3 linked regions of the Astyanax mexicanus genome follow. The protein of the gene in region 3 interacts with the protein of the main gene of each other region in a biochemical or structural test. Links are inferred from orthologs where the notes say so. Each region holds a gene or a part of one and is shown on either strand. Other genes may lie near its edges. The genes, in order: tyro3, tyrosine-protein kinase receptor UFO and gas6.

What was found.
Region 1: the proteins of gas6 (region 3) and tyro3 form a complex in vitro, tested with the Homo sapiens proteins (2 studies listed by BioGRID). The link is inferred for Astyanax mexicanus from reciprocal best matches to the Homo sapiens genes GAS6 and TYRO3.
Region 2: the proteins of gas6 (region 3) and tyrosine-protein kinase receptor UFO form a complex in vitro, tested with the Homo sapiens proteins (2 studies listed by BioGRID and IntAct, with this or other methods). The link is inferred for Astyanax mexicanus from reciprocal best matches to the Homo sapiens genes GAS6 and AXL.

The regions. Positions count from the first base shown.
Region 1 is NC_064421.1:18,847,829-18,854,936, forward strand, and holds the start of tyro3 (tyrosine-protein kinase receptor TYRO3), read right to left. Parts: upstream 3,108-7,108; 5' UTR 2,756-3,107; coding exon 2,698-2,755; intron 1,294-2,697; coding exon 1,110-1,293; intron 1-1,109. UniProt on the Homo sapiens protein: Receptor tyrosine kinase that transduces signals from the extracellular matrix into the cytoplasm by binding to several ligands including TULP1 or GAS6. Regulates many physiological processes including cell survival, migration and differentiation.
Region 2 is NC_064411.1:43,828,714-43,836,037, reverse strand, and holds the start of tyrosine-protein kinase receptor UFO, read right to left. Parts: upstream 3,015-7,324; 5' UTR 2,364-3,014; coding exon 2,297-2,363; intron 1-2,296. UniProt on the Homo sapiens protein: Receptor tyrosine kinase that transduces signals from the extracellular matrix into the cytoplasm by binding growth factor GAS6 and which is thus regulating many physiological processes including cell survival, cell proliferation, migration and differentiation.
Region 3 is NC_064428.1:18,957,422-18,964,542, reverse strand, and holds the start of gas6 (growth arrest-specific protein 6), read right to left. Parts: upstream 3,091-7,121; 5' UTR 2,675-3,090; coding exon 2,602-2,674; intron 1,588-2,601; coding exon 1,427-1,587; intron 1-1,426. Other genes in the region: pros1 (vitamin K-dependent protein S), read right to left, coding at 6,624-6,814. UniProt on the Homo sapiens protein: Ligand for tyrosine-protein kinase receptors AXL, TYRO3 and MER whose signaling is implicated in cell growth and survival, cell adhesion and cell migration.

The sequences.
Region 1 (7,108 bases), on a different chromosome or scaffold from region 3:
AAGCTTCTACAGAATGATAATGACCGCATTATTGAATCCAAAATGGGCTACCTCAATCTGGTGGTTTCGCCATAGCCCTCCTACCCTAGATTTCATCACAAATCTAAGGACACACCTCAAAAGATCAGGTCACGCACAAGAATCTCACAGAACTGGAACCTTTTGTAAGGAAGAATGAGCCACAATTAACAAGAATTAAACATGTGCTGAAATTTTTAAACTGTTAAAAATTCAAATAAAGTACCATCAGAACTATCAGTGGTTTGCGCATTACTTCAAGTATTGTGTTGTGTTGTTACATTAAAGCCTAAAGCAGAGGGAAGGTTTTTGAAGGAGTCTTTAAAGCTGATTAACTAACTGCAACACCATTTCATCCAAATTCTGACTCACACTTAACCATGAAACACAGAGAAAACACTACACTACACTACGTATCTGTTTCTTAGGCATTTACAATGTTTGAAAACCTGTTTCTTCAGACTGGTGTGAATTTGAAATGAAGCCCTAAAAAATGCAGTGTTTAGTTTTAAGAACCACTACATTATCGCTGCTCTCTGGTGAAAAATTCATCCCAATTCCTTGTCAGTTTTTATTTTTCTCCTACTGTTTGAACCCTGTAGGTGATGTGTGAATAATTCTTGATTAATACACCATTAACACAATAAAAAGGTTCTAAAATGTCTTAAAATAAAGATTTGGGCCATTTCCTGTAAATTCACCATTTTATAGACACATGTTTTTATTGCAAGGACAATAAGTTCCTAAAATGAATGAAGAAGAATTACTGCAGCCTAAATTTAGTTATTGGACGACCACTTAAAATGTTCCATGCTGTTCCTTTTACAAAAAATCCCAAAACCAAATTCTAAGCTGACTTGGGTTACTCAAGCAAATCAAAAGGATGTACACACACAGGCCAAGGGGTTAGTCATGTGAGATACAGTAATAAACAGTAAAAGATTTAACAGCCATAAGGACACACCTTATCAGATGATGTATGAAGTCATAAGAGATGATCTGTGACTATTTAAATAAAGAGCTAAAGACTATTTACATTATTTAATCTTTGCCCTCCAGATTTTGTAAACAATAAGCAGAAATGTTCTTACCTGTGAAAGGTCTCCCAGTGATGGGCTTCTAGAGTGATGTACATCTGATCCGTGCTGTACAGCTTTTCTCCATCTTTCATCCACACAATCTCCGGCTCGCTCAGGCCCTCAATGGCACAGCCCAGACGGGCCATGTTACCTTGGGTTACTGTGAGGTTGGCTGGGTTCTTGGTGAACTTCAGCCCTGAGAGATAACACACAGTACAGATGGGAACATCTTGACATGTGGTACAATCAAGGAAACACTGGCTCTAGAGAGAACAGTCTATTACAGAGTATTTCTAGTTTGTGATATCAAAGCCTTAAAGTTATCAGGGGCTGATTTTTTTTTTAAGTTCTATAAATGTTTTTGTATCAGCATTGGCAAATGTATCAACTTATCTTAATAATAAATCTGATTTAGTCGAATCTACATAGAAATATAGAACATTCTAAAAGGTTTACAAACTTGCAAGCACCACTGCATATATTAATAAACAGATGTTGTTAGAACTGAAAACCAATTCACATAATGGTGGAACATGTTTGTTAACAACACAAACCAACAAAATATTTCCCAGTGCTACATTTCCACAAGGCTATCTAAATTATGATGATGTATGCACTCTTTTTTTTTAAATAAAAAAAAAAATACAGTTGGTCAGTGTTGAAGAAATCCAAAAGAAAATCAACATTAAGTGTATTGTTCACATAATTTATCACAATAAGATAAAATACCTTAGTTTTGCAGACCTTTCTGTTTCGAATACCACCAAACATGTTACAAGTTTGCATTTTCACAGCTTTAGAAGCTTTTGTACCCAAATCTGTGGTCTCCATTGTGCCAAAACCACTGCACAGACCTGTTCCAGTGCCCATGCTCTGACTGAGGCTAGCAGACGTAATGCAAGCTGCAGAAGGATGAAAGCTCTCCAGTGTGGAGGCAGACTACAGCTGGCTTCTACAGTGCTGCAGCTTCAGCCAGAACAGCCTAATCAATGCCTACATTCACTGCCTATGGAGGAACTAATGTGGGGACACTATTAGCTAGATGACAGATTCAATGTTAAACAAACACTGTGATGCCGAATAAAAAATGAAGATTTTTTTATGTATATGCAAAAAAAGATCTATTTTTTATAAAAGAAAAGGTAACCTAATAATTATTTTTTTAAAGCCCATTCAGCATGGACTGCAGGATTATTTTAGATTGCTGGTTTCTTTTATAAAGCTATAATTCTGCTTGAATACAGTCCAGAGGGTAAACCAGGCTGTTGTTGTTGTTGCTGCTGCTGCTGCGGTTTCCAACAAGTAACTTAACGTTAAAGTTATCTAACGTTAGTTAGCCAACCTAGCTAACCTAACTTGAGGTGTCTTTATTTTTTGTTTAAGTTACTTGTTATAAATGTACTTGAATGTATAAATTCAATTTAACAAAAAAAACAAAAACGAACTAATTTGGTAACTAGCTTATCTAAGTTAGTTAACCTAGCTAGCTTAGCTTAGCTTAGCTAACGTTAACTAACTAGTTAAGTTAAGTGGGCTATTCATTAACATTGTTTACACTCTGTTTATCATTATTTATCCACACAATTTTGAACAAACTTACCGTGAACTCCTTCACTATAATGAACGAGGATAAATATTATCCAAAACTTAATTCCCATTTTAGCATCCTCTGAAACGCGACTCGGTCGCTTCACCTCAGCTGAATCAACAAGACCAGCAACTTTAAACAGGCGCGGTTGCTGAATCGCTAATTTACTCGGTATTCGCAGCAGCAAGTGCCGAACAGCGGCAGCAGCAGCTCCACAGTCCCGTCCCCAGAGTCTCCAACGCAGCCAGCAGCAGCAGCAGCAGAACCCCGCTCAGACCTCATCCCCGCCTGAACACTCTCCATACTCCACACACAGCCGAGCAGTATCCAAACATCCCGGCTTCACGGTCTTGGTTCAGTAAAGGAAACTGGACGGAGCTCCTCACACTTCCAAATGTTTCAGCGCTGTGGGGGAATGTGTGAAATCCCACACAATGCCCTCTAGAGACCATCTGCTGAAAAAACACCAAAACTCAGTGGATCCAGCCACCACCTCAAACCCAGCTCTTACAGAGGGCAAACGATATACAGCTCTAAAACAATAAGAGACCACTTAAAATGATTTTCTTTGAATTTACCAAATTAAAAAACCCTGAAATATAATCAAGAGGAAGATGGATGATCACAAGCCATCAAACCAAGCTGTACTGCTTGAATTTTTGCACCAGGAGTGGTATAAAGTTATCCAAAAGCAGTGTGTAAGACTGGTGGAGGAGAACATGCCTAGATGCATGAAAACTGTGATTAAAAACCAGGGTTATTTCACCAAATATTGATTTCTGAACTCTTAATTTGATTAAGAACTTGTTTTCTTTGCATTATTTGAGGTCTAAAAGCTCTGCATCTTTTTTGTTATTTTGCCCGTTTCTCATTTTCTTCAAATAAATGCTCAAAATGACAATATTCTTATTTGGAATTTAGGAGAAATGTGGTCCGTAGTTTATAGAATAAAACAACAATGTTCATTTTAACCAAACATATACCTATAAATCATCAAAATCAGAGAAACTGATTCAGAAACTAAAGTGGTCTCTTATTTTTTTCCAGAGCTTTATAAGTATATAGAAATCACTGCATAAATATGCACAAATAAATAATTTAACTGATTTTCTCTACATGGCAGTTCCTAAAATCTCAACTGAAGAGTAGGGCCTGGTAGTTGCCAAGTGTACCAACAATCCAAGGCCAAATGTTTGCTTAGAACCAGGCCACAAGAGGCTAGCACAAATTGTGTGTCTAGTAACATGTTTGAAAAAAAGTGGTGGAAAAACAGTTAACCCATACGTACCATGTTAAATATATTTATAGCTATTTTCCTAGCTATAGGACCTCTAGGCCATTGACAAACAAATCTGTACATATCAGTTTGCATTTACATTTTTTGTACACTGTACCCTAAAACCCCACACTAAATAACGTTATCATTAAATGTGGTTTCCTTTAAGAGAAAATCCATCACTATCAAATGGCAAAAATAAATAACAGTAATGCTCTCATCAAATGTTTAGAATTTGCAAAGCAGATATTCAGTAAATAAGGCTTGTTCCCATTATTTGATAAGGGAGGAAATAAGTAGGTAGTGATCGTAGACCTAGGGGCTGGAACTTACCATAAAGTACCTTCTAATTTGGAACAGGATCTCCTCTCAGGAAGAGAAGCAGCCACACTAAATAAGTGTACACAACAGAGATAGATAGATAGATAGATAGATAGATAGATAGATAGATAGATAGATAGATAGATAGATAGATAGATAGATAGATAGATAGATAGATAGATAGATAGATAGATAGATAGATAGATAGATAGATAGAAACACATAAAAGTAAGAATATATTTAAACATAAATGTCCTTAGAAACATACTAAATAATTGTCTTACAATATGTTCTCGTTGTCATCTTGACCTTCTTTATTTCTATGATTTGATGAGCAGACAAATAAAGGCATTTTATCATCTCTCAGGCCTCATCTGTTCAGGCCTTGAAGATGTTTTTGCTGGAAGCTGTTTATGATTTTTATAGGACTGAGATGTTCTGCTCTTATCAGTACACTTTTCTTGTGCTGGGCAAAACTAAAAATAACAATAATGTGAGCTTTGACCACAAGAGTATGAGCTACAGGAAAACAAACTAAACTCTCCTCAGAATGGCCTACATGACCGTTTCACATAGCGTAAGGTTGTGTAGAGACATTTTCTAATCACTCATTTCTTTTCAACTTTTTCAGAGACTTTAAAAGGCATGAAGATTATTCAACTGCTAGAGACTGATTGTTCTTAGGACAAGGAGAGGACAAGATTATATGAGATAAAAACTTGTACACTCATCTTTATGCTGTTGGAGCCCAGTAATCTCTCTTTTCAGAGATGAAGAGCATGGTATTAATATGACATTGTTGATGTCATATCGATAGATGGCATTTCATGTTTTTAAGTTTAGTCATTAATATTAGTAAGTAATTAGCAAGATTTTAAATGAGATTAAATGGCACTAAAATATAGTAATAGAATTGTAATAGTAATAGAAATGCACTACAGGTCAGATGTTTTAGAACACCCCCACATATATCTGATCAAATATGAGATGCACAAAAATATAATGGCTGTAACCAAGTCTGTGTTACTTGGGGGAGGGAGGACATCCAACTAGTATTTGATTAATTCCCACTTGTTTCATGATGTGTCAGTGTGTAAGTGCCAGACATTTAAAAACTGTGGTGACAAAAGAGGGGTTAGGTGTAAAAGCTGTGGATGAAAGCTTGTCCTGAATCCACAACATAAACACTGTAGAGTATGTCTATCGGCATAATGTTACGTCCACATCATGTATTGCACTAATGTTAGTTGCTGTAGTTTAGTGCTAAGTTTAGTTGTAATGTTTTTAAATTTCCATCTTAAATAATAAAAATAGAAAAATATGTACTTTGACTTCCAGTCTCGGAGTAAACAACATTTCCTAAGTTTCAGACACAGTTATTATTTATTTTACAAATACATACATAAATTCATAATGGCTGTTTACAGCATATAGAGGGTAATTATTAATTACTAAAATTGCAGACTAATTAAACTCAATAAAACTTTATGTTAGAGTACAAATCTCATCCCTTATCAATTGGGGATGAGCCCTGCATTGTGTAAATTAGTTAATGAAGTTAGCTAAATCTTGGAAAGCTATTAAAATTGCTTAAGTCACATTTTATTTAGACCTAGTTTTAATAAATTAGCCACACTTGTGACATTATCCTAAAGGTGTAGAATCAAATGATCTGTTCAGCTGAGGGTGTAGGAAATTTTATGTAGGTGGTTATTTTAGGAAGGTAACAATATGAAAAATATTAGATTTAATTAATATTATTAATTCCTGAGCAGTCAGCATGTGTCTTCAGTTCCTTATAAATAAAACAGTGTGAAGGTTGTAAAGTCACATATCTGTTAAACATGCAGCAGCTACAAATAACAAATACAAATAACTGAAATGTATAAATCATTTAAAAGCATGTTAAAAATAAAAAAGGGTTTGTTGGGTTAGTTAAACACTTTAAAGGATTATTAAAAAGAATCGTTGCCAAAAGCACATGCTTACATAAAAAATATATATATAATGTACACGATCTAGAGTGAAGGTTAACATTCCTCTATGTTTCTAAAATGTGTTTATTCAGAGAAAGTTGTATTGTTACAGATTGGTGTAATCAATTTCAAAAACTATGCTTTAGAGACAAAATGCAGGTTATACTGAAATTTACCCATAGGACCCTTAAACCTTGTGTAGTGCACTAGGTAGCTGGTGATTATATAGGGAGCGATAGGTCGTTTGAGATTCGCCCAGACCTAGTTTGAGATGAGCGTTTTCCAAAACCCATCGTCTGTCCTCCTCTAGTGGACAGATCGCGTATCATCAGGTTTTCTGCTCTGTTCACTTCCCCCACTGCTCTCCTCTGGGCTGTGATCCGGAGCCTGTCCCGGGCTGTACTGTAGGAAGTCTCTCCGTGACTTTTACACAGTAGTGTAGGTAACGTACACAGAAAGTCAGCCATGCTCGCCGTGGTTTCCATGGTAAGTTACAAAGCCATGTTGATTGCGAGTCACTGAATGCTAACTTTCACTTTGATATTCAGCTCATAAACGGAATAATAACTTGCTCACAAATAAGTTTTGACAGTGAACGTAGTTAACTAGGTAAACTAGTGAACGAAATCACAGGTTATGTGTGGTATTGTTGTAACGTTAGTTAGCTAACTAGCTAGCCAACTGAGCTAGCAGTGAAGCTAAGTTAGTAAGCTAGGTGAGCTAACTTAGCTAACTTAGTAAAACTGGTTGCTAAAACTTTATACGTGTTTTATTTTGTGCTCTGCTTGTGTGTCACCGGCTCCCCGTCCAAAGGGGGTTTGTTGTTTCTCTCCTGTGTATCAAGTTGCCT
Region 2 (7,324 bases), on a different chromosome or scaffold from region 3:
AGATTTGACACTTTTCCAAATCAATGAGGAAGAAACTGAAAAAGAAAACAAAGAACAAGAGGAAGTACCACTGAAATGAACTAAGACTTAAAATAGTCACATTCTGCTCCGGTTGACAACACATAGAGAAATTCTTCACTTCAATATGTAGGGTAGGTGTGCCATCAGGTAAAATAGCACAGGTATGTTAAGTCGTATGGGACATATTAAATTCAATTTACTAGTACTAAGCCAATTTCCTAATAAGCCAATTTCCAATTAGAAACCACTTTTTCATTTAATCTGTCTACGAATATATATATATATATTTCTCAATCACCAATCACTTTCTCAAAGTGCACAGAAGTGACAAATCTCCACCCAACACCTTTGGTACAAGTAAGAGTGTTTGTGATCCATTGCCTGATGTTTTATTGGGGCCAAATACAGTCCCTCAAAACGTACAACAATATTTAAACATCTAATTTAATGAGGAAAGTGGGACAAACCCAAACATCCAAAAGAAATGATGGAAAGATACTAAAATGTAGATGTATACATTTTGTCTTTAATGTTTTTTTCTGTCTGTCTGGCAAATGATGTATTAATGTATTAATGTAAATAATGTTGTACTAATGAAAAACTCTTCCAAAGTCATGAGCTACTATACATGAGACAACTATACATTTATTAAGAAAGCTTTATTAAGAAGTGTTGGCTGATCTGTTCTCTGGAGTGACAGATCTCCACCCAAACCTTATGTTTGTGACCCAGAACTAATCATTAATCTTCAGAACCTGACATTACTAATGTTCTTGAGGGTAAATGCAGTGAACCAGCTCTCACAGCCATGCTATAACATATAAAACGTAAAAGTCTTTCTTGAACCAAACTTAAAAAAAATAGATGAAATTATAAAGAGAAAATATCAGCAAAACAATTAGGCCTGATTGAGTAACAATAGTGTATTAATGGTTTATTCATTAATGGGCAGCTCTTCCAAAGTCAAAACATTGCTCACACCCTCTTCTTTTTTTAGAAAGGCTTTACATTAGATGTTGGAACACCTTGTAGTGAGAATTTGACAATATTCAAATACAAAGACAATTTAGGCTGGAGTTACTTTTTACACTTATTACACATTTTAACAAATCACTGGAACTGTGTTGTCTGGAATTACAAATCTCCACCCAAAAGAGTTAGAATAATGTTTGTGATTAGGAACTGATCATTAATCTCTAGTACATAAAATTACAATTTTTCCTGGGACTGAATGCAGTCAATGAATCAATTCTCACAACAATTTAGTGTAGAGCCTTCTTGGAGAAAAGTGGAACAAACTCAAACTGTCAAAAGAAACAATAAACAGCAGATTTATACACAGCTTTAAAAACATTATTTAATGAGTGTTTAGCTGTTCCAAACTCAAGAGTTTTAATATGAAGCTTTCTCACAACCTGTACCCTTTAATGAAAACACAGTGTAGTGTGGATTTGACTGTATCCAACCACACTCAAAAGTTAGTTAATGAATTTTCTCAACAGTGTTCCAATGTCTAGTGTAAAAAGCCTCATTGGAGAAAAGTGAGACTAACTCAAACAGCCATAAGGAACAGTGGAGAAATGTTCCCAAAGTTTTCCCAAACACAGAAATATTTATATGAAGCGTCTTACAACATCTAACCTACTCTTCTAAGAAAATATCTAGCTGATAATGAGGATTTGACTATATTCCACCACAAATTATTACTTTCTTTGATTTTACCAAATTGAAAACCTCTGGAATATAATCAAGAGGAAGATGGATAATCACAAGCCATCAAACCAAGCTGAACTGTTTAAATTTTGAGTGGCATATAGTTATCCAAAAGCAGTGTGTAAGACTGGTTGAGGAAAAAACTGAAAACTGTGATTGAAAAACAGGGTTATTCCACCAAATATTGATTTCTGAACTCTTGAAACAATATCTGAACTCTGAAATAAATGCTCTAAATGACAATATTTTTAATGTGGAATTTGGGAGAAATCTTGTCCATAGCAAAATTAGAGAAACTGATTCAGAAACTGAAGTGGTCTGAAGCTGTATGTTAATGAACTGTACAAAAAAATCCAAAAGCTGGAGTTTGGATAAAATTTAGGCTTTTAGGGTCTGTAGAAGTTGGTGGATGCTATCCTTCTCCAATGGGCAACCCCAAAACTCTTAAGAGTCTGCTCTACACTTGCTCTACAGTGTTACTCAAGCCTCCTGCTCCTCAAAACTTGATTAACTTCACTTAAACCTGCTGAAAACACAACAGAACAAGCCAGCCATGACTTACCTGATAAACTCTCAGCGGTGGTTAGCTCCAGGGTGAGAAAAAGCAGGAGAAATCCGAAGGTCTTCATCTTCTTTGCTCTCAGTGTGAGAACTTCTTGGAGACGGTTCGTTAGTTTGGTTGTATTGGAATCGCGCGCTCGCGGTGTTTACTCGATGACTCACCGTCACCGCATCGCTTCAACACAACAATACTTCAAATCACGTTTTAAACCTTGAAAAAGACTGTTAAACCTCAGACAGGATAGCTCAAGCTGTTGCTGTTTAAGCAGCAGACTTTCCTTTCAGCCACAGAGTTCTCCTTTTCAGGTTTCGAGTAGAAAAAATGCCTCAAAAACAGTTTGAAACCTGATGCTGTGGAGCGGAGAAGTCTGGTGTCGTTCTCTTTCAGCTGAGGTAAATTAGCTAGTTACTCAGTTTCTGTCAAATAAACAAAAACTCAAGTGGTAGAAAAACTAAAGTTCCCTGTGAACTAGACTATTTTAAACTTCTCCTAACCTATAAACCCCTCACAGGAACCACACTAGCTTACTATAGTTCTCCCGGTCTTCCAGTTTCCCCTCAAAAGTTGTTAAAAGTAGCTATTTTAGGAGCTAGTTAGCTATTTTTGAAGTCCTGTTTCCTCAAGCCGTTTCCCAAGACACCCCAACCTTCCCTCACCAGAGCCCCTCTACTCTTTCTTACTCCCCCCTTCAAACTTCAGGACTCAAACAAATTCCTCCACACAACTTCTTTCCATTCTCCTCGATCCCTCCTCCTCCTCCTCCTCCCTCTCTTCATCCCTCCCTCTGGGTCTCTCTCAGTCTCCCTCTTTTTCTCACAGAAGACGAGAAAAGGCGGGGGGAGGATGGGTCACTGGGGTAGACATTACGCTTCAATTGCCAATTTATCACCCCAACAAGTCAACAAAGCTGTGTTTGATGTGTTATTTATTTATATCTATCTTTTACTTCATAAGTAAAACAAAGTTTTACTTGTTTTAACACATAAGAGCCTAGACTCATTTCTAAACCCATGAAAATTAATGCCAAATTAGAAATTGAATCAGATAAATTCAGTAAGAAGCTCATTAAAGTTTTTGTTCACAAATGAAGCAAAAACTAGTTATAAAAGATGTAAAACACTCAATTATTGTGATAATTTAAATGTATTAAGTGGTTGAGACCTGTAGAAGATAAATATCAATTTAACCCCCTAACAGCCCAGGCCTGACATTACACCACTAAATCTTGAGGATTTTTATTCAAGCATTACATAAAAAGCTTTCAATGTTTGATAAGGAGCATCACTGAAAATCATAACTGTAATTGTAATAGAAAATAGAAAAAAAAAAAAACTTAATTTAAAAATCAATATTTTCCTGAATACAAATCAAACAGTTCATGTCCTCCAAACCTTTAGTTTTGTTATGTTTGTCTAGTTTTTACGTCTGTTTTCAAAGATGCAGAATTTGGGTTGATTCCTTTTACTGATCTAGAATTATTAAGTGAAATAGAGAGTAAACAGGCAGCTTCTCCAAGTGTCCTGTAGGAAATAAGTTATAATAATACGTTATTTTACTGCAGAAAAAAGGGATATGTATCACCTACACCTGTAGCCTGAAGTCATTTTAGGGGTTAAAAGGAGTTTAAACATACCACAAAAAGTAAGGAAATTAGTTTTTAGTAGAATATTTCCTTGTTGTAACAATGCTTCTTGGCAAGAAATCTTATACTTTTAAAAATAATTCCATTTTAAATTGTGCCACATTTGTATGGAACATGCATTTGGCATTTGTGGGATGAACAGCCCTTAATATGTTTGCCAAATCTTCTCTGCAATTGCCAAAAACTAATTTTTCTGTTGCTGTTGACACTTGTTTTGAACTTCGCGTACTCCCAAGATCCTGGTTGCCACTTAAAGGGCAGATTATAGTGGTCAGGTGGTAGGTGTATGCGTATGCTCCAAGAATTGTAATCATGCGACATTTAACTGTTCTGAATAGAGCCTGCGTGATAGGGCAACTTTAAACTGGTGTTCTGCAAAACCAGGTTGCGACATTTTTTGGAGTGAGCCCCAGTACCATCTCCAAATTGAAGGGCAAGTTCCATATAACTGGGGATGTCAGAGACAGTGCACAATGTGGGCGTCCCAAGAAGACGACACCCCAAGAAGATCATCAAACACCAAACGAGTCAATGGAAGAATAAGCTGTTTGTCTTGACAGAGAGGATTTGCCAAATCTTTCATGCATCCCACAAATCCCCGTTCCTTACAGACAGCCTTTTAAATAATAAAATATTAATTATTATTTATAGTGCTGTGTTTTAGTTTTATCTCCAGCACTAACCCATCACTCCCATATTCTGTTAATAAGGTCAGATAAATTAACACAGATTCACACACAATGTCCTGTGGTGATGCTGTCAGGATGTTTAGTACAAGTTACTTACAGACTTCATAAGTTAACTTGAAGGACACATAGCTATAAAGAACTTTCCAATTCTTATAAAGGGTCTGCACAGCCAAAGTTGTTCCCACTAGTTGCTCAGGGATGTTGCTATGGTGTTGCTAAGAGGTTGCTATGGTATCCCATGTACTTACTATAGTGTTGCTAAGTGGTTACCAGCTGTTTGGTATGATGTTGCCAAGCATTTGCTCTGGTATAGCTAGGTGGTTGCTTAGATGTTGCAAGCTGGTTGCTAGGGTGTTACTAAACTGTTCCTAGGCAGTCCCCCTCACAGTCCCCAACCTAAACATCTTCAAAATATCTGTAGATAGAACTTGAACAGAGACTAGGATTTTGCCAGGGGCATAACTTAGAGGTTTATGATTAGGGGGGCTAAGCTTTATCTAGAGGGGGGTCTAGGGGTAAACCCCCCAGAAAAGGGAAAGATTACCCCATACTGGCATAAAATAAAAAATATTATTTTACAAAATAAAGATTCCCCAGCAAAAATGTTTTCAGTCCTTTTTTTGTTGTACTCTTTAAAGGTACAGCAACATGCCAAAAAGAGACAGGAACTTCTATTGTGCCCCATTACTTTTCACTGCACTGACCCATGGGATATGCATGTGAGGACTTCTGCATTAAATAGAATCAGTGAATGTAAGTCGCTTGTTGGTCCGTACGGACAGCTCTAGCCAGACACCACCAGTTCTAATCATTTCTACCTACTGTGCTGTCCCCTGTGGGTGGTAATGCCTTTAAAGAAAAAATAAATCAAAAAAGAAAGGTCTTAACCATCTTGCTCGCACAAGCAGGTCTCACTCAAACTCCAAGAATTCATGTAACCTTGCCATGAGCACACTGGCCAACCTGTTCAACCTCACTCACAAGATAATACCTCACAACTTATACAGGTGTGGGCATTCTTAACGCTTCCCCTTCACTGCTATCCCATGACCTTATTGAGTTTTACTGTGGTCTTCTAGACATAAGATCATGAAGATTTGTTTAAAAAACAAACGATTCTGAGTCACTGTTTTGTCAGAGGAAAATCTGTGGCCAAAGCACTTTTCCATCCATGGTGGAGTCAGCACTGCAAAAACACTGACTGGAAATGCATTGCAATAAACAGAACTAGACTAAATCTTTAAAAAAAAATGGAATTTTCTCACAACAGTTTAAAGTTTCGTAAGTATGCGTAAGAAGTGTTTAAATTCTTTTGTGGGATTCCACCCAATTAGAGTCAACAATTCCCCCCTCAGACAGAGACATAAACAAAGATAAGGACAGAAGGTAACACAGACAGTAAGTAGCTCATTAGAACAACACTGCTGCATTTGTGTTCGTTTGTTTGGGTGCACGCTTTGCGGTGTCTACGTCTGGAGCAGGTGGAGGTTTAAATTCGGATGAGGGAACCTGAGGGAAGGAGGTGATATAGTGTAGTAGGAGGGAGGAGGAAGAGGAGGGGGAAAGGAAGAATTGATACTTCATGAATTATTTAGTTTGTGGGTTTTTTGGAGTAGAGGATTCCCTCTGTTCCATGAAGATGCAGGAAAGTGGTGTTGTTGTGGGGTCAGGTTGCACTACTGAGGGTGTGGTGTGTGTGTGAGTGTGTGTGTGTGTGTGCGCGAGTTTGTGTGTGTGGGTGTGTGTCGGCCCTTTAAGTGAAGGTTTGCGGGGGACTGAGCAGTGTTCCCAGGGTCTTTAATGGAGATGGAGCTTCGCCTGAGAAAGACCCCATTGTGTGTCCTTCGCTTTTCAATAGGACCCGACTGGAGGAATCAGGCTCACACATCACATAGATACATGCAGAGAGAAAGAGAGAGAGAGAGAGAGAGAGAGAGAGCGAGAGAGAGACAAAAAGTCGAGAAAAAGAGAGAGCAAGCAGGGACCTGAGAGAAAGAGAGTGAGACAGAGTGACAAAAACACAAAAATTAGAAGAATGGAGGTCTTTTTTCTTGGAAGACAGAGCACAGCAGTAAAGGGCAGGGTTAATTAGGAGTGAGCAAAAGAGAGAGAGAGAGAGAGAGAGAGAGAGAGCTCCAAGGGTGGATTAAGTTCATTCCATTTATGCATTAATGCAAAAAACTGGCTAAACAGGCAACAGTTAAGAGATCACACCTCAGCAACAGCTCTGATGTGTCCTTCAAGATATGCTGAAAATGTAACTAGGAATAAAAAACAAATATTACAGCTAAATGCAGTTTACAACTTAATAATTACTTACTAATATCCCAACCTTTATTATTGCGTTGATTGCATTGTAATTGTTTCAAATGGCAACACAAACAGAGATCTACAACCAATTGTTTATTGTTGAGTTGTTATTTTACTACACTTACTGAAAAATTAATTTACCTCCCTGAATTGCTGCAAAACTTAGCATGCACTAACTGAATGTCTCAGACAGATATGTAAATTGTTAGAGGTTGGGTCTCAACTAGAAGTGCTTTCTCCGCTGCCTTATAAATAGCCTCTCAGAGGTTACTTCTGGGCATTGTACCTCTTGGTGAGAGATTGTTGACTGCTACACATGCCTCTATGATGCGCTTAAAGACAATTTGCCTTGTTGCCAGACTTTAAGAGGAGCACGCCATTGAACTG
Region 3 (7,121 bases):
GCTAGATGCTACTTACTGGACAGGGCCAATCCATATACCAATCCAGATTCCAGTCAACATCTTACTATGAACATGCAGCATGTCTGCCTCTCAGTCTCTCAGTGAAAAAAATAACTCTGTTTAAAGTTGTTTGTTTGGAGATATTTTAGTCTGAAAATACACAAAAGTAAGACAGCTACTTGTAACATGAAGGTTTTTTGAGCCATCAATCATGCCAAGGGGCAGAGTTGCACTGTACAATTTACTTACTAATTTAATGAATCACATGCTGAGGTTTACATGAAAAATCATCACAAGGATGGAGTTCATGCTAGCAAATAGACAGGAAGACCCCACAAATTTAGTACATTGGCACAGCTATCGATAAAAATGTGGATCAGTCCAAGCCCACCACTACTCTCAATAGCTACCAGACCACTGGTTTCACTGGTTCAACTTCATCAAACCATCTGGAATGGACAACTGCCATCCTGCCCCTGCTCTCTAAGCAGCCACGCAGGAACAACAGCACCAATAAATCCCTCAGACTTTCGGGGACTTTTGTCACTTACTGTGCTGTTTGTTTGGAGGTATTTTAGTCTAGAAATACTAAAAGCAAGACAGCTGCTTGTAACATGTAGGTTATAAAGCCATCAATCACGTCAAAAGTTTAAGTTGCATTGTACTGCATTGTAATTCACCTAGTCTAGTTTAATCAAAGAGCACAAGAAGGGGGAGTTCGTGCTAGCGAATAGAGAGGAAGACCCCACAAATCTTCTATACTGGCATAGCTATTGATACTGGCATATATGTATATTGAAATTGAATTAGAACTGTGGATCAGTCCAAGCCCTACACTACTTTCAATAGCTGCCAGACTACTGGTCTCACTGGTTTAACTTCATCAAACCATCCAGAGTGGACAACTGCCAACCTGCCACTGCCCTCAGCCTCAAGCAGCCAAGCATGAACAACAGCACCGATAAATCCCTCAGACTTTCGGGAACTTATGTCACTTAGTGTGCTGCAAAAACAATACAAATCTGTGATAAAAAAGGCGAGTGTGTGTGTCTGGAGGGAGGACAGGGTCTAATTATATCGCGACTCGACTGCAGAATTACTAGGGCATGAAAATGAGGCACACAATCGTTCAGAGTCTCTCTGATAAGCGTCCAATTTCGGGGTGAAGGTCGTCGACTGTTAGAGAGACGGAATATTGTCAGCAGCAGCACAGCAGCAGGAGCAATGCTATCCTACAAGGCTAGTTAGCAAAGAGGACCAACGAACCTTGGCACGAGCGGTCACGCTAACCTACCTGAGCTACCTGGGTTAGTCAGTTGACGTTAGCTAACTAGCTAACCTACCTGCAGTACGCCGCAATAAGGACGTTAAGGACACACGCGCATTTACGAACAATTAATAAATTGTGTATTAAAACTTCGTTTACCGTTTCAGGGTCGTTCTCAAACACTTCTCGCGCCTCTTCTTTTGTACATCTCTCCTCCACACATTCTCTCTCCAAGTGTCCTTGTTTGGTTTCCTCAAAAACCTGGTTCGCTCGTTTTGGTCTTCTTAAAAACTGGCTGGCTTCCTCAGGCGACAAGGACACTGCGAAACACACACACATATAAAGAGAGGAATATTCGTCCAGGTGAAGGACAACGGTGAACAGCTCGGGTCAAGATGCAAGATGCACTTGTTAGCTAGTTAGGTTAGTTCACACTTGTGCCTGTGTCCAAAAACGACTAGCACAGCTAACGTTAAATAAACTGCTAGTTACTGACTATACAGCTCTGGAAAAAAATAAGACCACTTAAAAACGATGAGTTCCTTTGATTTTACCAAATTGAAAACAAGCCATCAAACCAATCTGAACTGCTTGGATTTTTGCACCAGGAGTGACATAACGTTATCCAAAAGCAGTGTGTAAGGCTGGTGGAGGAGAACATGCCAAGATGCATGAAAATGTGATTAAAAACCATGGTTATTCCACCAAACATTGATTTCTGTACTCTTAAAACTTTGTGATTTTTTTTGCATTATTTGAGGTTTGAAAGCTCTGTATCTTTTTTATTTTATGCAAATATATATTCTGAAGGTCAATATTGTTATTTGGAATTTGTGAAGGAATGATGTCCGTAGTTTATAGAATAAAACAAAAATGTTTATTTTACTCAAACATTTACTCAAACGTTTATTTTACTCTATAAATAGCAAAATCAGAGAAACTTATTCAGAAACTGAAGTGGTCTCAATTTGTTTCAGAGCTGTATGTAATAAATGTTCTATTGATAATGTGTACACAATCTTTAACACTGTATTAAGCTCGTTAATGTAGTTATTAAGGTTAACTAACTAGCTAACCTAGGTTAGTTAACTATTTAGCAATAGTGTGTTGTTTTGGACACAGCCACAGCTACAACAACTTACTTAACGTTACAAGCTAACCTAGCAGTGTTTTGGCTTGCTTGTTTCCCACAAGAAAAAGCGACAGTAGCTAAAAGCAGTAAGTCAGTGTTAATAGCAAGCTAACTAGTTATCTAGCTAGCTAGCCATGTTAGTATTTGTTTAAGTTAGCTAAGTTAGCTAACCTAACTTTAGGCTAACTAACTAACTACTTACGCTGCGAGGAGCAGGCGACGCACAGGAGGATGAAGAAACAGCCCGAGAGAAACTCTCCCGGGGTAAGAAGCATGTTTGGTTCGGCAGCAGACTCAGGAAAGTTCCTCCAGTCCTGGTTCTCTCCCTCACTCTTTCTCTTTATTTCTTCTTCTTTTTTTCTGTGCAGCTGAGAAAGCTTTCACTTCTCACAGCGGGGGAGAGTCTATACCGCTACATTCAACTCTCTCTACACGGCTTGCAGAGGCAGACGCATACCACAGCCCAGCTCCCTTTCTCTCCTCCACACACACTCACACACACACACTCTCTCTCTCACACACTCACATTCACACTAGCACGCTTACTCCCGCTCCTCCACACATACATACACCCCCCCTCACTCCCACCTCTCCCCCTCTCTCTCTCACTAGTCGTGGTCTGAACGTGAGCAGCAGCAGCAGCAGATTCGTCTATCCTGCTGGTGGAAAGTAAGTTAGCTCTAGCTAGCAGACACTGGGAGTTCCCAATGCAGAATGCGCAAGAAAGAGAGGCAGGCAGGCAGGCAGGCAGGGAGGGAGGGAGGGAGGGAAAGAGAGGGAAAGAGAGAGAGAGAGAGTCACTCTGTCACTGCAGCAGAAGTACTGCTGTAGTACTGGTAGCTAGATAAGCTTTGCATTAAAAGGCTGCAAAGTTATTATGCACCACCGCATGTGTGTTGATTAGCCTATGTCTCTGTGTTACTGAATAATTATAAAATGTGAAACACATATATTATATAGATGTATTACACACAAAGAGATCTATTTTAAGCATTTTTTAAAATTATATTGCTGATGATTGTGGCTTACAGCCAATGGAAACTCAATAATCAGTGTCTCAGAAAATAGAATATTATATTAGACCAATTGGTACGTTTGGCAGTGTGGGCAGTGTGCCAAATCCTGCTGGAAAATGAAATCTGCATCTCAATAAAAGTTGTCAACAGAAGGAAGCATGAAGTGCTGTAAGATTTTCCGGGAAAACACTGCACTGACTTTGGACTTGGACTTTGATTGAACACAGTGGACCAACACCAGCAGATGACATGTCTTTCCAAACCATCACTGATAATAAAAAGTTTACACTAGACCTCAAGCCGCTTAGATGTTCAATGATGGTTTCGAGAGCCATGTCATCTGCTGGTGTTGGTTAAGTGTGTGTAAAATATTAGTTTTGTCCGCATTAATATTTCACTAATCGTTAATTAATATTAACGATTCGTGAAAACCTCAAACTGTACAACACTTCCCTATACTCGTGTAGAGATAATAGGAGGACGACAAAAAGCTTTTTTCTGAGGTTAAGAGAGATACATATTTACAGATCCTGTAGCCAACATCACAGATGTTACTTGTTTTCGGAAACCCTGGATATTATCAGCAGGTGATGTTCAGCGTCAGTAGCAGGCACAACGCAACCACAACTAGCCAGCTTTGACATGTGTGGAAAGCAAAGCAGCGTACTGCACGATGCCCAAAGGCTCTGTTCAGACTGCAGGTAAATCAAATTTCTTTCCCAAATCAGATCTGTAGAAATTACCATCACTGCAAGTGATCAGATCAGATTTTGTGTCTGTACATCACAAATGTATGTTGCATAGGTTGCTGTGGTAGCAAGGTCAGCATCAGTAACTCATTTTTAAACTCTCTTTTTGGACTCCTGTACATCGGTTACTCTGGATTTGATGAAAGCTTTAAAATATAGTATAAGTCTTTACTGGACAGTAGAGACAGTTGCTCTAACACTTGTTATAAACACCCTTGATTTGAGAACATGCATTGAATAATGCATATGTCCCAGTACCTTTGTATATAGTGGAGTTTTTGAGAAGGTTTACTGTATTTTGGAACATGGCTACAGTGATTTGTGTTTCATTGAGCCACAGGAGCAGTTGTGAATTTGGGCATAAATGTTGAGCAGCAAGGCTTGGATCACAAAAGGATTTTCATTTTTCTTCAAAGGCGTTGAATGTAATAGAAGAAGCTCTGTGAAAGCTATGCAGGTTCTCAAACATATTGCCAAAAAGTGGAAACACAGTTCCCTACAGTGTTATAATATGTTGTAGCATTTGGAATCCCCCTCAGTGGAACTCAGGGTCTATTTAACAGCCTCAGAACGTTTCCCCCCTACATGAAACTTTACACTTGGCACAATGCTTTGCACGTGTAGTTTTTAGGCTAAACTCAACACACAAAGTATATGGACAAAATGTTGGGAGACCTGCTTATAATGAACTCATCTTGCTTTGAAGTAACTGTCTTTACTGTCCAGAGAAGGCTTTCCACTAGAATCTCTGGGAAAATCTGCTGTAGGATGCCATACAGAACATCTGTGCCCCCATGTCAAACCATATCTTATCTTGTTTCCAGACTAGAGCCCCCCAAAAATGTATGTTTTTTTGCTTAAATATTGTAATCACACTTGCAAACCTGCATCTAAATCCATCAACTCCTTATGTAATGCATTTTGAGTGTACTTCATAGTTTCACTATAAAGATAAATGACTGCTTGTAGCCATCATTTTCTCAATTTATTTCTAGATTAATGTTCATATGTTTATACAATTATATATTTAAATATTTTCAGCACAGCAGTGACTTTATTTGGAAAGTGTATTAAGCGCTTTAGTTTTGCTGTATTTTATTTTTCAAATGTCATTACTAGGTTTATTTCTGCCGCACTTGATTAAATATGATTAAACTAGAAGTTGAACAGTGTTCTCATGTGGACCATCTCTCCTCGTTTTTCTCATTTTGCACCAAGATTTTGTTTTCCAAAATACTGCAGTTAAACCCCTTTCCCTGCAGCTTTTTTCCAAAATATGTTTTTCCCCTCAGCTCTTAAAACATTCCTTCTTCACCACCACCACCAGCACCACCACCACTGCTAATCCCCTTTTGGCCAGAACTAGGCTAGATTACATTTGTTCACAATAAAAGCTTAAAAAACTTTACAATACAAAGATAAAAATGAAGTGGATCCTTTGACATTACCTGGATTTCTGCTCTGATTACTAACAAAATGTTTTTTGATCATTATTAGTCACAAGTATAGACAAACACTACCACCTGGAACTTATAACACACAAGCAATATTGTCCATGTCTTTTGTTTGGATTTGCAAATAGCCACAGTACAGGCTAGAAAAATGCATTTTATTGGTGATCAGAGCAAAACATTTAATAAATCCAACAATTGTATAAAATAAGAAAATATATTTATGGTCTGATCTTAAAGCATGATTGAAGATTTTCTATAATTCCATAAGTGCACTAGTACAATGTGGATTTTGAAAATTACAATGGGAACATTTTATTGTATGTATTGTATGTACGTGACATGCAAAAATGAGATTTTTTTGTCGTTTTTATTAAAATACTCAATTAATTCAACACAGAATAAAAATAGTTGGTTTACACTCATTCATCCCATGACTGAAAAAAAAAAAAACAGACCAAAACCAACCCAATAATAAAAGTTCTAATAAATGAATGTGTTCAGAAGGAACAGCCAGTTCATTGTAGACCAGATCCCAGTAAATATCTCAAGTTGGACCAGTCTTTTTTCTACATCTTACAGGAATACTTTGCATTTCATCAGTATAAATCAGAGCTCAGCTCTGTATTGCATTATATGCTATTTCTTGAAAACAGTGACAATGCCCTTTCATGACCAACAGTATTGGCCATTAAGAGCTTAAAAACTGCAGTCTTATCGTTTAGTCGTTAATCTTAAACTTATTATATGTTATAAATTATTTGGTAAATACTTGAACACCAGTGTGTTAGTTGTAACATACAGGCCTTTAAGGTTAAGGTTTACAGTAACGTCTAGATCTCAAGGTACTCAAGGTTTTAGTGTCGTTGCAGATCAACCTCAGAATAAACAAACTACTTTGTTTCTCAGGTCATTTCTGCTCGTCCTCCCTCTCTCTTACTCCTTACAAGTATTTACAGCTGGATAGACAGCACTAGTAATGTATCCCCAATGCTCCAGCCTGTGACATCATTTCCTGTTTAACGCAGCGAGGGTCTCACTGGCCGGAGGTTCAGGAGGGGAAACGGGTGGACAGGAGTGAGATTTGATGCTGTTGTGTTTGTTGACGGCTTCATCAAAATCAAGCAGCTTCCCGTTCACATTGATCTCCATGCAGCCATGGTAGTAGGCTGACACTGGAGTGGAGGAAAGGGGAAGATCTAAAGAAAGAAAAAAAGAGAGAGATTAAACAAATTGAACAGTGTCTTTCAAGTTGTAAGATGCAAAAAACAAAGTGGTATGTAAACGTTTGGGTACCCGCAGTCAATTTGTATAATAGTGAATATGTGATTAATAGATTCACTGATCTCAAAAACAATTTGGGGTAGCTAACTAAGTAAGCTAAAAATAGTAAAGAAAACTGTAATAAAAATGACTTTGCTTTTAAAGAAAAAAGAGTGCTGGATGTTAATCTACACAGATTTCTCTCCTGATAACTGTTTATTTGGGTGAGTAAAGTAAAGCTTT